Linked DNA regions of Stegostoma tigrinum. The protein of the gene in region 1 binds, or shares a complex with, the protein of each later gene. Links are inferred from orthologs where the notes say so. Each region holds a gene or a part of one and is shown on either strand. Other genes may lie near its edges.

The links.
Region 2: eif2b2 (region 1) and eif2b3 share a complex: the UniProt entries of both Homo sapiens proteins name them as parts of the translation initiation factor 2B (eIF2B) complex. The link is inferred for Stegostoma tigrinum from reciprocal best matches to the Homo sapiens genes EIF2B2 and EIF2B3.
Region 3: the proteins of eif2b2 (region 1) and eukaryotic translation initiation factor 2 subunit 1 are in contact, whole or in part, in a cryo-EM structure (PDB 6K71), measured with the Homo sapiens proteins. The link is inferred for Stegostoma tigrinum from reciprocal best matches to the Homo sapiens genes EIF2B2 and EIF2S1. Residues at the interface, in NP_055054.1 of Homo sapiens: Glu92, Arg95, Gln128, Ser131, Asn132, Glu135, Ala136, Glu139, Val142, Glu143, Glu145, Glu149, Asn150; in NP_004085.1 of Homo sapiens: Leu51, Ser52, Arg53, Arg54, Ile56, Asn60, Lys61, Leu62, Arg64, Arg67, Lys87, Ser91.

The regions. Positions count from the first base shown.
Region 1 is NC_081363.1:814,878-818,624, reverse strand, and holds the start of eif2b2 (translation initiation factor eIF-2B subunit beta), read right to left. Parts: upstream 2,819-3,747; 5' UTR 2,790-2,818; coding exon 2,639-2,789; intron 632-2,638; coding exon 511-631; intron 1-510. UniProt on the Homo sapiens protein: Acts as a component of the translation initiation factor 2B (eIF2B) complex, which catalyzes the exchange of GDP for GTP on eukaryotic initiation factor 2 (eIF2) gamma subunit.
Region 2 is NC_081361.1:72,955,811-72,959,557, reverse strand, and holds the start of eif2b3 (translation initiation factor eIF-2B subunit gamma), read left to right. Parts: upstream 1-1,000; 5' UTR 1,001-1,267; intron 1,268-3,747. UniProt on the Homo sapiens protein: Acts as a component of the translation initiation factor 2B (eIF2B) complex, which catalyzes the exchange of GDP for GTP on the eukaryotic initiation factor 2 (eIF2) complex gamma subunit.
Region 3 is NC_081363.1:69,341,807-69,345,553, reverse strand, and holds the start of eukaryotic translation initiation factor 2 subunit 1, read left to right. Parts: upstream 1-1,046; 5' UTR 1,047-1,342; intron 1,343-1,571; exon of another isoform or gene 1,572-1,762; intron 1,763-3,747. Other genes in the region: atp6v1d (V-type proton ATPase subunit D), read right to left, coding at 304-344. UniProt on the Homo sapiens protein: Member of the eIF2 complex that functions in the early steps of protein synthesis by forming a ternary complex with GTP and initiator tRNA. This complex binds to a 40S ribosomal subunit, followed by mRNA binding to form a 43S pre-initiation complex (43S PIC).

The DNA.
Region 1 (3,747 bases):
GTGCCCGGGTACGGTCACCCGCCCCGTCACCCCCTGGGTCAGTCAGTGCCCGGGTACGGTCAACCACCCGTCACTCCCTGGGTCAGTCAGTGCCCGGGTATGGTCACCCGCCCCGTCACTCCCTGGGTCAGTCAGTGCCCGGGTACGGTCAACCACCCGTCACTCCCTGGGTCAGTCAGTGCCCGGGTATGGTCACCCACCCTGTCACTCCCTGGGTCAGTCAGTGCCCGGGTATGGTCAACCACCCGTCACTCCCTGGGTCAGTCAGTGCCTGGGTATGGTCACCCGCCCCGTCACTCCCTGGGTCAGTCAGTGCCCGGGTACGGTCACCCGCCCCGTCACTCCCTGGGTCAGTCAGTGCCCGGGTATGGTCACCCACCCGTCACTCCCTGGGTCAGTCAGTGCCCGGGTATGGTCACCCACCCTGTCACTCCCTGGGTCAGTCAGTGCCCGGGTATGGTCACCCACCCGTCACTCCCTGGGTCAGTCAGTGTGCCTCACTGCTCTCACCGACTGTATTCCTCTCGAATGATCTTCATTACTCGCCGAATGATGTTCCCCACACTGGTCTCCGAGGGATGAGCTGCAATCATCCTCCGTCCTTCAGTTCGGATCAATTTCAGTAACTCCCCTAAAAGGGGGTAAAATCAGAATATTAGAGACAGAAACAACCAGGCTGTTGGTATAAATACCCAGGAGAGACAAGGAGGGAATAAGTACTCAGACCTGGGGGTAAATACCTGGAATCTGAGGGGGCAGGGTGGCGGCTCTGGGAGACTAAATATCCAAGCCCAAGAGTAAATGTGTAGAGCCTGGAGAGGTGGTGGTGTGGGGGTAACTACCCCGACCCGGGGAGTGGGGGGGGGGTAACTACCCAGACCCGGGGAGTGGGGGGGGGGGGATACCCAGACCCGGGGAGTGGGGGGGGGGGATACCCAGACCCGGGGAGTGGGGGGGGGGGATACCCCGACCCGGGGAGGGGGGGATACCCAGACCCGGGGAGTGGGGGATACCCAGACCCGGGGAGGGGGGGATACCCCGACCCGGGGAGTGGGGGGGGGTAACTACCCCGACCCGGGGAGTGGGGGGGGGGGATACCCAGACCCGGGGAGGGGGGGAGGGGGGGATACCCCGACCCGGGGAGGGGGGGAGGGGGGGATACCCAGACCCGGGGAGGGGGGGAGGGGGGGATACCCAGACCCGGGGAGGGGGGGATACCCCGACCCGGGGAGTGGGGGGGGGGTAACTACCCCGACCCGGGGAGTGGGGGGGGGGGATACCCCGACCCGGGGAGTGGGGGAGGGGGGGGATACCCAGACCCGGGGAGGGGGGGGGATACCCAGACCCGGGGAGGGGGGGATACCCAGACCCGGGGAGGGGGGGATACCCAGACCCGGGGAGGGGGTAACTACCCAGACCCGGGGAGTGGGGGGGGGGGATACCCCGACCCGGGGAGTGGGGGGGGGGGGGATACCCAGACCCGGGGAGGGGGGGATACCCAGACCCGGGGAGGGGGGGGGATACCCAGACCCGGGGAGGGGGGGGGATACCCAGACCCGGGGAGGGGGTAACTACCCAGACCCGGGGAGTGGGGGGGGGGGATACCCCGACCCGGGGAGTGGGGGGGGGGGATACCCAGACCCGGGGAGGGGGGGATACCCAGACCCGGGGAGGGGGGGATACCCAGACCCGGGGAGTGGGGGGGATACCCAGACCCGGGGAGTGGGGGAGGGGGGGATACCCAGACCCGGGGAGTGGGGGGGGGGATACCCCGACCCGGGGAGTGGGGGAGGGGGGGATACCCCGACCCGGGGAGTGGGGGAGGGGGGGGATACCCAGACCCGGGGAGGGGGGGAGGGGGGGATACCCAGACCCGGGGAGTGGGGGGGGGGATACCCCGACCCGGGGAGTGGGGGAGGGGGGGATACCCCGACCCGGGGAGTGGGGGAGGGGGGGATACCCAGACCCGGGGAGGGGGGGATACCCAGACCCGGGGAGGGGGGGATACCCAGACCCGGGGAGTGGGGGATACCCAGACCCGGGGAGTGGGGGGGGGGGGGGATACCCAGACCCGGGGAGTGGGGGGGGGGGGGAGATACCCAGACCCGGGGAGGGAGGGGGGGGAGATACCCAGACCCGGGGAGGGGGGGTAACTACCCAGACCCGGGGAGTGGGGGGGGGTAACTACCCAGACCCGGGGAGTGGGGGGGGGGGGATACCCCGACCCGGGGAGTGGGGGGGGGGGGGGGGGATACCCAGACCCGGGGAGTGGGGGGGGGGGGGGGAGATACCCAGACCCGGGGAGGGAGGGGGGGGGAGATACCCAGACCCGGGGAGGGGGGGTAACTACCCAGACCCGGGGAGTGGGGGGGGGTAACTACCCAGACCCGGGGAGTGGGGGGGGGGGGGATACCCCGACCCGGGGAGTGGGGGGGGGGGGGGGATACCCAGACCCGGGGAGGGGGGGATACCCAGACCCGGGGAGGGGGGATACCCAGACCCGGGGAGGGGGGGATACCCAGACCCGGGGAGGGGGGATACCCAGACCCGGGGAGTGGGGGGGGGGATACCCAGACCCGGGGAGTGGGGGGGATACCCAGACCCGGGGAGTGGGGGAATATTCCCTCTTCTCCGCTACCTGCGTTGTTCCACCTGCTGTGGGCCACTATCTGCCGCAGGAGACCCGCGGTTCCAGCCGCAACCTCCCCGGAGCGGCGCAGCTCGCCCCGGGACAACTGGCCAAGAAAAGCGGCGACCCGCTCGGACACATCGGGCTGAGCGGCCGGCATGGCGGAACTAAAATACAGTTTGGGGGAAGGGAAAGACCGACGGATAGAGCGGAACCGGAAACCACCCATCGCCAGTCAGCGGCACAGGCCAGTCGCCATGTTGGTGAGGGAAGGCGATTCCAAAAAACAAACCCTCTCCCTTCCCCCCCGCCATTACCCATCCCCCATCTCACCCTCTCCCCATCCCCCATCTCCCCTCCCCCATCTCACCCTCTCCCTTCCCCCCCGCCATTACCCATCCCCCATCTCACCCTCTCCCCATCCCCATCTCCCCTCCCCCATCCCCCATCTCCCCTCACCCTCTCCCCATCTCCCATCCCCCATCTCACCCTCTCCCCATCCCCCATCTCACCCTCTCCCCATCCCCCATCTCACCCTCTCACCATCCCCCATCTCACCCTCTCACCATCCCCCATCTCACCCTCTCACCATCCCCCATCTCACCCTCTCTCCATCCCCCATCTCACCCTCTCCCCATCCCCCATCTCACCCTCTCACCATCCCCCATCTCACCCTCTCCCCATCCCCCATCTCACCCTCTCACCATCCCCCATCTCACCCTCTCACCATCCCCCATCTCACCCTCTCACCATCCCCCATCTCACCCTCTCTCCATCCCCCATCTCACCCTCTCACCATCCCCCATCTCACCCTCTCACCATCCCCCATCTCCCCTCCCCCATCTCACCCTCTCCCTCTCCCCTCCCCATTACCTGTCCCCCATAGAACATAGAAAAGTACAGCACAGTACAGGCCCTTCGGCCCACGATGTTGTGCCGTGGAATAATCCTAATCCAAAAATAAAATAACCTAACCTACATTCCCCTCAATTCACTGCTGTCCATGTGCATGTCCAGCAGTCGCTTAAATGTCACTAATGACTCTGCTTCCACGACTACCACTGGCAAAGTATTCCATGCGCTCACAACTCTCTGGGTGAAGAACCTCCCTCTGACGT
Region 2 (3,747 bases), on another chromosome or scaffold:
TTTCTGTGGTGAACTTAATTCGTAATTACTGTGTAAATACAGCAACTTTATGTATTCCAATGGCAAGCCAGACAGTGAAGAGCAGTTTGTGCAAACCAGCACATTTCATACAGCATGGAAACAGACCCATTGGTCCAACTAGTCCACGCTGACCAGGTTCCCAAACTAAATTAGTCCCAGTTGCCTGCATTTGTCTCAGATCCCCCCAAACCTTTCCTACTCATGTACTTATCGAACTTCTTTTAAAGGTTGTTACTGAACCTGCATCCATTATTTCTTCCGCAGTTCATTCCAAACATTGTAAAAAAGTTGGTCCTTTTTAAAACTTTCTCCAATCCCCTCAAAAATATGCCCCCTAGTTTTGAACTCCACCACACAAGAAAACTATTCACCTCACCTATGCCCATGATTCAGACATTAGTGTTTGGATTTCTGCATTTAATTGTGAATCTGATCTTGTCTGAAGTTGTTGGGGCAGATATGCACATTTAACGACAGTAAAGGACAGTGGTCTCACCGATATGGCCCCATATAATTTTGGGGTGTTAAGATACTGAAAGAAAATTGCAGTGCAAGCACAAGAAACAGTAGTACTGCTGCAGGAATTAAGAAGTGTCCACAGTTTAAAGGGCTAAGATTGATCATTACTGGTTTTCCATTTGTAAAGAGGCCAGGAAAGATTCTTTGCTGGTAGGGTTTGAAACAGAAAAGGGAGCCACTCTGTGTCCCTGTGGACTATGTAAACCCAATACTGCTGAGAGGGGGCTTATAGCAAAACATTAGTGTCAACCCTATCACTGCATGCACAGCCATAAAACGTTTAACAAACATAATTAGCTACAATATTTCCAGCGTTTTCTGTCTTTCAATCAACACCTATAAAACAAAGTAATTAGTCCATCTTGAGATTCAGTGAAATGAACATAATGTGAATGCAATAATTTTGAAAAAGTGGCCTTGTTCATGTATTTTTTTTAGACCAGTTGAGTTGTGGAAATGAGCGAGGGAGCAGGTGTAGTGTTCGCACTGAGAGATCTCCCTCGGAACCTTGTTCTGGGGCCGCAGTAATTCCGTTTCCCTGCGGACACAAATTCACCCGAACACACGACATGGTGGACGTGAGATGACAGTGTTTCTTTTAGACTCGTACACCGTCTAACGACCCGCATTGGGCCCGCCAGTTCGGTTCACCGCCCCTCGTTCCTTTCTCCGGCTGCTTTTCGACACCGACCGAGGCCTTGCCGTATTCCGGGAGCGGAGCGAGGAGGTAAACAGGAGGGAGAGCCATGTGTGTCTGTGGGCTGTGTTGGTGGAATTAGAGGGAGGGGAAGGGAATGGAGCCGGTAGGACCTGGGGGTTTTGGAAGTTTGGGATGAGTGGAAACAGGGAGCTGCGAAGTTTTGAGGCAGTACTGAAGGGGAAGGGAATGGGTTCGGGTTCGGGTTCGGGGTTGGGTGACATTGTAATCAAATGGGGAGAAGAGCCGATCCCTGGTTAAGACACGTTTGAGCATGGAATCCTCCCAACTATAATATATTCCAGAAAGTAAAAACCCTTGTAAGGCGGGTGGGAGAAAACATCCGTGGCTAAGCAAGGAAGCTAAAGATTACATAATGACAAGAAAAAGGACTAAACTATACCTTGTTGCAAAGGCCAGTGGCAGGCTGCAAGATTGTGAAACTTAAAGATCAATAAAAGGCTACTAAAAATGTAATAAAAAGAGCAAAAGGATGTACTATAGCTGAATTTGCTGATGACACTAATCTAGGTGGGAAAGTAAGTAGCAATCGAAAAGTAAAGGTGAAGAGTGGAAACAAAACTGGCTGGAAAATCACTGCAGGTCTGGCAGCATCTGTGAAGACAAAATCAGAGTTAACACTTCAGGTCTGGTGACCCTTTCTCAGAACTCTGAGAAAAGGTTTCTTCCACCCAGAGAGTGTTAAATACATGGGACATGCTGTTTGAGGGGGTGGTGGAGGCAGGTACTCGCAGCGTTTAAGAGGCATCTGGTTGAGTGTTTAAAATACCATGGCACAACAGGCTACAGACTTCGTGCAGTCGAATGTGATTAGTGTAGTTTGGTGCTTATTGTTTGGCATTGACATGGTGAGGGGAAAAAAGCCTGTTTCAATGCTATATGACTCTATGACTAAATGTACAAATATATATGGAATAGGTTAGGTGAATAGGCCAAAAACTGGCAGATTGAGTTTAATGTGGATAAGTGCTCAGTTATCAATTTTGGTTGTTAAGAGTAGAGCAGCAACTTATGATCTAAATTACCTTGTATAAATGAAAAGAAACTTAAGCATGCATTACTGCAGTGAGACCTGGTTGTCCTTTGTGTATGAGTTATAGCAAACAAGATTGCTGGTCCAGCAGGTAATAAGAAAGGCAAACGGAATTTTGGAAATTCCAAAGGAATTCTCTATTCTAAAGGAATAAAGTATAAAAATAAGAAAGTGTTGTTGCAGTTGTAAAGGAATCAATGATACTGGGCTGTTGCTGCAATTGTACAAGACATTAATGAGTCTAGACCTGTGTAGTTTAGGCCTATACTCACTTGAGACTAGGAGAACGGGAGAAGATCTAATTGAATTCACAGATCATAGAATCCCTAGAGTGTGGAAACAGGCCCTTCAGCCCAACAAGTCCACGCCGACTCTCGGAGCATCCCATCCAGACTCATTTCCCCTACAAGCCACCTAATCGACATATCGCTGAACACTACGGGCAATTTAGCACAGCCAGTCCACCTAGCCTGCACATCTTTGGACTGTGGGAGAAATCTGGAGCACCTGGAGAGAACCCACACGGACACTGGTAGAAAATGCGAACTCCACGCAGACAGTTGCCCAAGGGTGGAGTTGAACCTGGGTCCCTGGCACTGAGACAGCAATGCTGACCATTGAGCCACCATGCCATCCCAAATCTGCAACTTGAGGAAGTATAATCGGCAGGATATGATCCTGTGTGGGGAAACCCCAATGGATTTCCTAATCCAAGATAATAAAGTGTGAAGCTGGATGAACACAGCAGGCCAAGCAGCATCTCAGGAGTACAAAAGCTGACGTTTTGGGCCTAGACCCTTCATCAGCTTTTGTGCTCGTGAGATGCTGCTTGGCCTGCTGTGTTCATCCAGCTTCACACTTTATTATCTTGGATTCTCCAGCATCTGCAGTTCCCATTATCTCTGGATTTCCTAATCCGTTGTCTTAACCACTCAACCATGATTACAGTGGCGTGTATTATAAATGCTAAAGGGGATTAGCAAAGTAGACGCAAAGAGAATTTTTCCTTTTGCGTGGTGTCTAGAATGAGAGGTCATAGTTTTAAGATAAGGGACAGCAGATTTAAAACATGAGAAATTACTTCTCTCAAAGGGTCGTGACCCTGTGGAATTCGCTACCCCAGAGTGCAGTGGACGCTGGGATGTTGAATACATTTGAGGAAGAAATTGACAGGTTTTTAATTAGTAACGGGCTGAAGGGTTATGGGGAACTGCCAGTAAAGTGAAGTTGCGGCCGAGATGAGATTTGCCATGATTGTATTGAATTTTGGAGCAAGCTCGAGGGACTGAATTGCTTCCTTCTGCTCTTAGCTCTCTTGTTCTTAGGAACTGAGCTGAACCCCAGAGAAGTGGACTTAAGCCTTGTGAGACAACTAGTAATGTTAGCTGTTCACACCAGGTAGCTGATGACACAGGAGAAATTTAATCAAAGTAGTCTTGGGGGAATAATTATAAAG
Region 3 (3,747 bases), about 69 Mb from region 1:
GCGAAATTTTGGAATCTGTCATGCAAATTGGGCACCGTTGCATTAATTATCTGTCTGTGTTATAATCTCCGACTGACACTCTCAATTTTTATTTAGTTTCGACTGTAAAAGTTCCTTTATTTGGAAATAGTTCGATGATTCAGGAAGAAATGGGCCAGCACTTTTAAACGCAGTTTCATTCCAACAGCCCTTCACCTGAGCCAAAATTTAAAATGCTAAACTTTAAAATTTCCAGGTCGGAGCACTAAAGCAAAAGTCAAACTTGAGATGGCTAAAAACCGTAATCAAAAATCTGACACTCACATTCGCGATGGGAAGATCTCAATCCTCTCCTTGCCTGACATGTTTGGCTATTTCTTGAGGTGGGGGGGGGGGGGGGGGGGAAGATCCAATAGCTGGTGGAAAAGATGAAAATCTTTGCAATCGACAAGGAGTGTCCCGTGACCTTCAGCAGGTTGTAAGGCTAAGCCCTAGTGGGGCTACTTCCTCCTATAATTTTCTACTAACTTTCTTCGGTCGACTCGAGCAAATTGTTGGTTTCCACGGATCAGCAGCTGGCAACATCACGTGACAGGGCGGAGGTGACCTGTGACCTCCCTCACCACCGGGTTAACCGTCGTCCAAATATTCTAGATGGGGATTTTAATTTTTTTAAATGAAGTATCTCTTAGTGTTGCTGTTTGCTTCGCCAATTCCATATCTCACCGTTTTATCTCGCTGTTATTAACTATCTACGATCCTTTACCAAGATGGCGGCGACACGTCGTTACACCCGGCTGCCCCTTCATTTCCAGTCCTCCGTCAATACTAGAGAGCGAAAACCTAACAAAGCTATCGTGCAAAAGCACAATGTGTGTGAGTCGCGTCTAATGAATGAATGCTACAAATCAAGGCCGCTCCGCGATATCGATCGCGACTTCCAAGGTTACTTGGAGTGACGTTTCACTCCGCCCTCCTCTCGGCTTCAGGTCGCAGCTCCGCGCTTGCGCAGAAGCGGGGTTTCTGGCGAAGGGACGTACTTGCGCTGCGCACGAGAGATTCTGCGGTGCAGAGATAGTAGGAGCTGCAGAAACGTTAGCTTTCCTGCACCTCTGATGCTGCTTGGCCTGTTTTCTTCAGCCAGCTGTACACCTTGTTATCTCAGATTCTGCGGTGCAACGTGAGGATAAACATTGCCGCGCCTGCGCAGAATAAAGCGTGCGCCGTAACAGTTACGGAAAACGGCGTCGCGCCTGCGTAGAAAAGTAATTGTGGGAACAACGGAAATAGCGCGAGTCGGAGTGTGGGCCTGAGGTGCTGACCGTCCTCGTTCGCAGCAGCGCTGCCTACAGATTCTGCTCAAGTAAGTGAGTCCCAGTGCTGTCCTCATATCGGGAGCCGCAGTCCACCCCCCACGCCACTGATTCGCTGGTTAAGGCGGATCTAGATTCCGGCCCAATGCCAGCATGTTTTATGGTCATGTCGGCTCCTCAACTCGGGCTTCACCTGCGGGCCCATCCGGGCCTCTCTCTCTCTCTCTCTCTCTCTCTCTGTGTGTTTTTTTTGTGCGGCCTCTTTCTATCACTCGTGCCATTTTTCACTCCACTTTAAAGCTACCACCTGGAATGTGGCAGCTTCCAGGGTGGTGATGTCCCCACTTCTGACCCAGCAGATCCAGGTTGAAGTCCCATCTGTTCCAGAGGTATTCCACGAACAGGTTGATTAGAAAATAATTACAGCCACTGTGATTAAACTGAGGATTCTTGAAGTTCACAGATGGAAGGTACTTTGATTGCATCATTCTTAAAGTGAAATCCCAAGGGATGAAAGGCCTTAATATTCACTTCGTGATCAAGGAATTTCTTTTCTATCTTTGCTGATTTAGGAATTGAACTAGGTTTGGCTTGAAGTTCATACTTCTGTCAGACTAGGTATTTGGAATTAAAGTTTTAAAGAGATCTTCATTATGTCACGAGTAGGATGAAGTATTCAAATGAGGTATGACTGCATTATTGCTGACTGCTTTTCAGTTTTCTAATTTCTTTGTAGATAGATATTTTTTTTTATTAGCCTTGTCCAAATCTGAATCCTTGTCCTGAAGCTATTTACATGAAATAAAGTACAGATGATCATTATTGAAAATAGCATTGAAATGAAAATTGTACCATGAAGTATCAGTTGTGTCACAAAAATGGTCAGATTAATTGTCAGTTTGAACTGATATATGCAATTAGTGTTGGCTGGAGGCTGCTGTTGATTTCTGATTGAAGTTTATTGAGACATCTGAAGCCTGCCTCAAAATATGTTCTTAGGTGTTGATTCATGGCTCCATTGTAATTTCTTGTTTGGTGTTGGAATAATTACATGTGCAAGTCTCCAATGGCAGATTGGAAACTTCCTACAAAGTGTCAATATCAAACTTTATTAGTACTGTTGATATCTTCTAATCAATCTGTTCAGAGATGTCATTCCACACATAGAACCTAGGCCCACACCTTGACTTAGAGGTAGGTACCTCCTAAGAGTCCCATTGTGGTACTTTATTTTAATCAAGCTGCTCAGATACATTATGACACACATCTGAAGGATTGAAGCTGGGCCTCCTGGCTCTGAAGTAGGGACAGTGCCTTCCACCAGGGTGTCCAGTCTTGTTTCTTTATATCCTGGGGAATTAATGGAATTCAATTCATATGCATGGTCCTATCAGCAAGTTGTCCCTTGGCTTCTTCTGTGTTGGGAATGGCAGTCTGCAGCCTTGTTTAATCAAGGTGAGACTCTGCCTCATGGGAGTAAAATTGAAACTGTGGGCCCAGTGGAAATCCAGCTTCTAGTGGCATCTTTTACATCTGAAACTTTGCTGTCAGAATACTCTGCCTTTTTGCTCCCATGGAAGCACCAGGGCTTGATCTGTTGTATTACAAGTGTAGTTTTGTTTTGGCATCTTGCACTGGCCTTGTGGGCCAGAAAGCTTGAATTATGAGGAAAGGTTGGATAGGCTTGGGTTTTCATTGGAGCAGAGAAGACTAAAGGGCGATCTCATTGACGTGTACAGGATTATGAAGGGCATGGATATAGTGGATAAGGAACCACTGTTCCCCTTAGTTGGAGGGTCAGTGGTGAGGGCAGAAGGTTTGAGAGATATGTGGAAAAAATCTTTTATCCATAGGGTGGTGACAGTCTGGAATGTGCCTCTTTGGAAGGTGGTAGAGACAAATTGCCTCCATGCTATAACAAGTACATGGTTCAGTACTTGGCATGTCAGAACGTTCAAGACTGTGGGCTAACCGCCAGTATTGGTTCAGGCTCGATGGGTTGAACAGTCTCTTCTGCTCTGTTTCATTCTGTGACCTCATGATTTGGTGTTCATCTTTTTGAGAATTTAGGCTTGAGAGTTCAGAAACATTTCCACTGAGCAAGAGAAGACTAAGAGGTTAAAATTATGAAGGGTTGCGAGGCAATTTGGCCAACAGCTGTTTTAAAATCTGGGTCAGTTGTAGGAGGACATCAATTGAAATGAGTTCGGCAAGTTAGGATAAACTTGCAGGAACTTGCCCTGCTCTGACACAGAGCAGTGAAAGCAGAAGCCAGTGCATCTTTTAATGGAAGGGAAAAGTATTAGAAGAGATGAGATTTTGAGGATAAGTGTAACTAATGGGATGATTTTCAATTATTCTAGCAGTAAGCTAGGTCATGAAAACACACCTTCATAGGTAAATTCCTGTGGTTCCAAATTCTCTCTAACTCTTTCCCTCACCATTAACAAAGAAA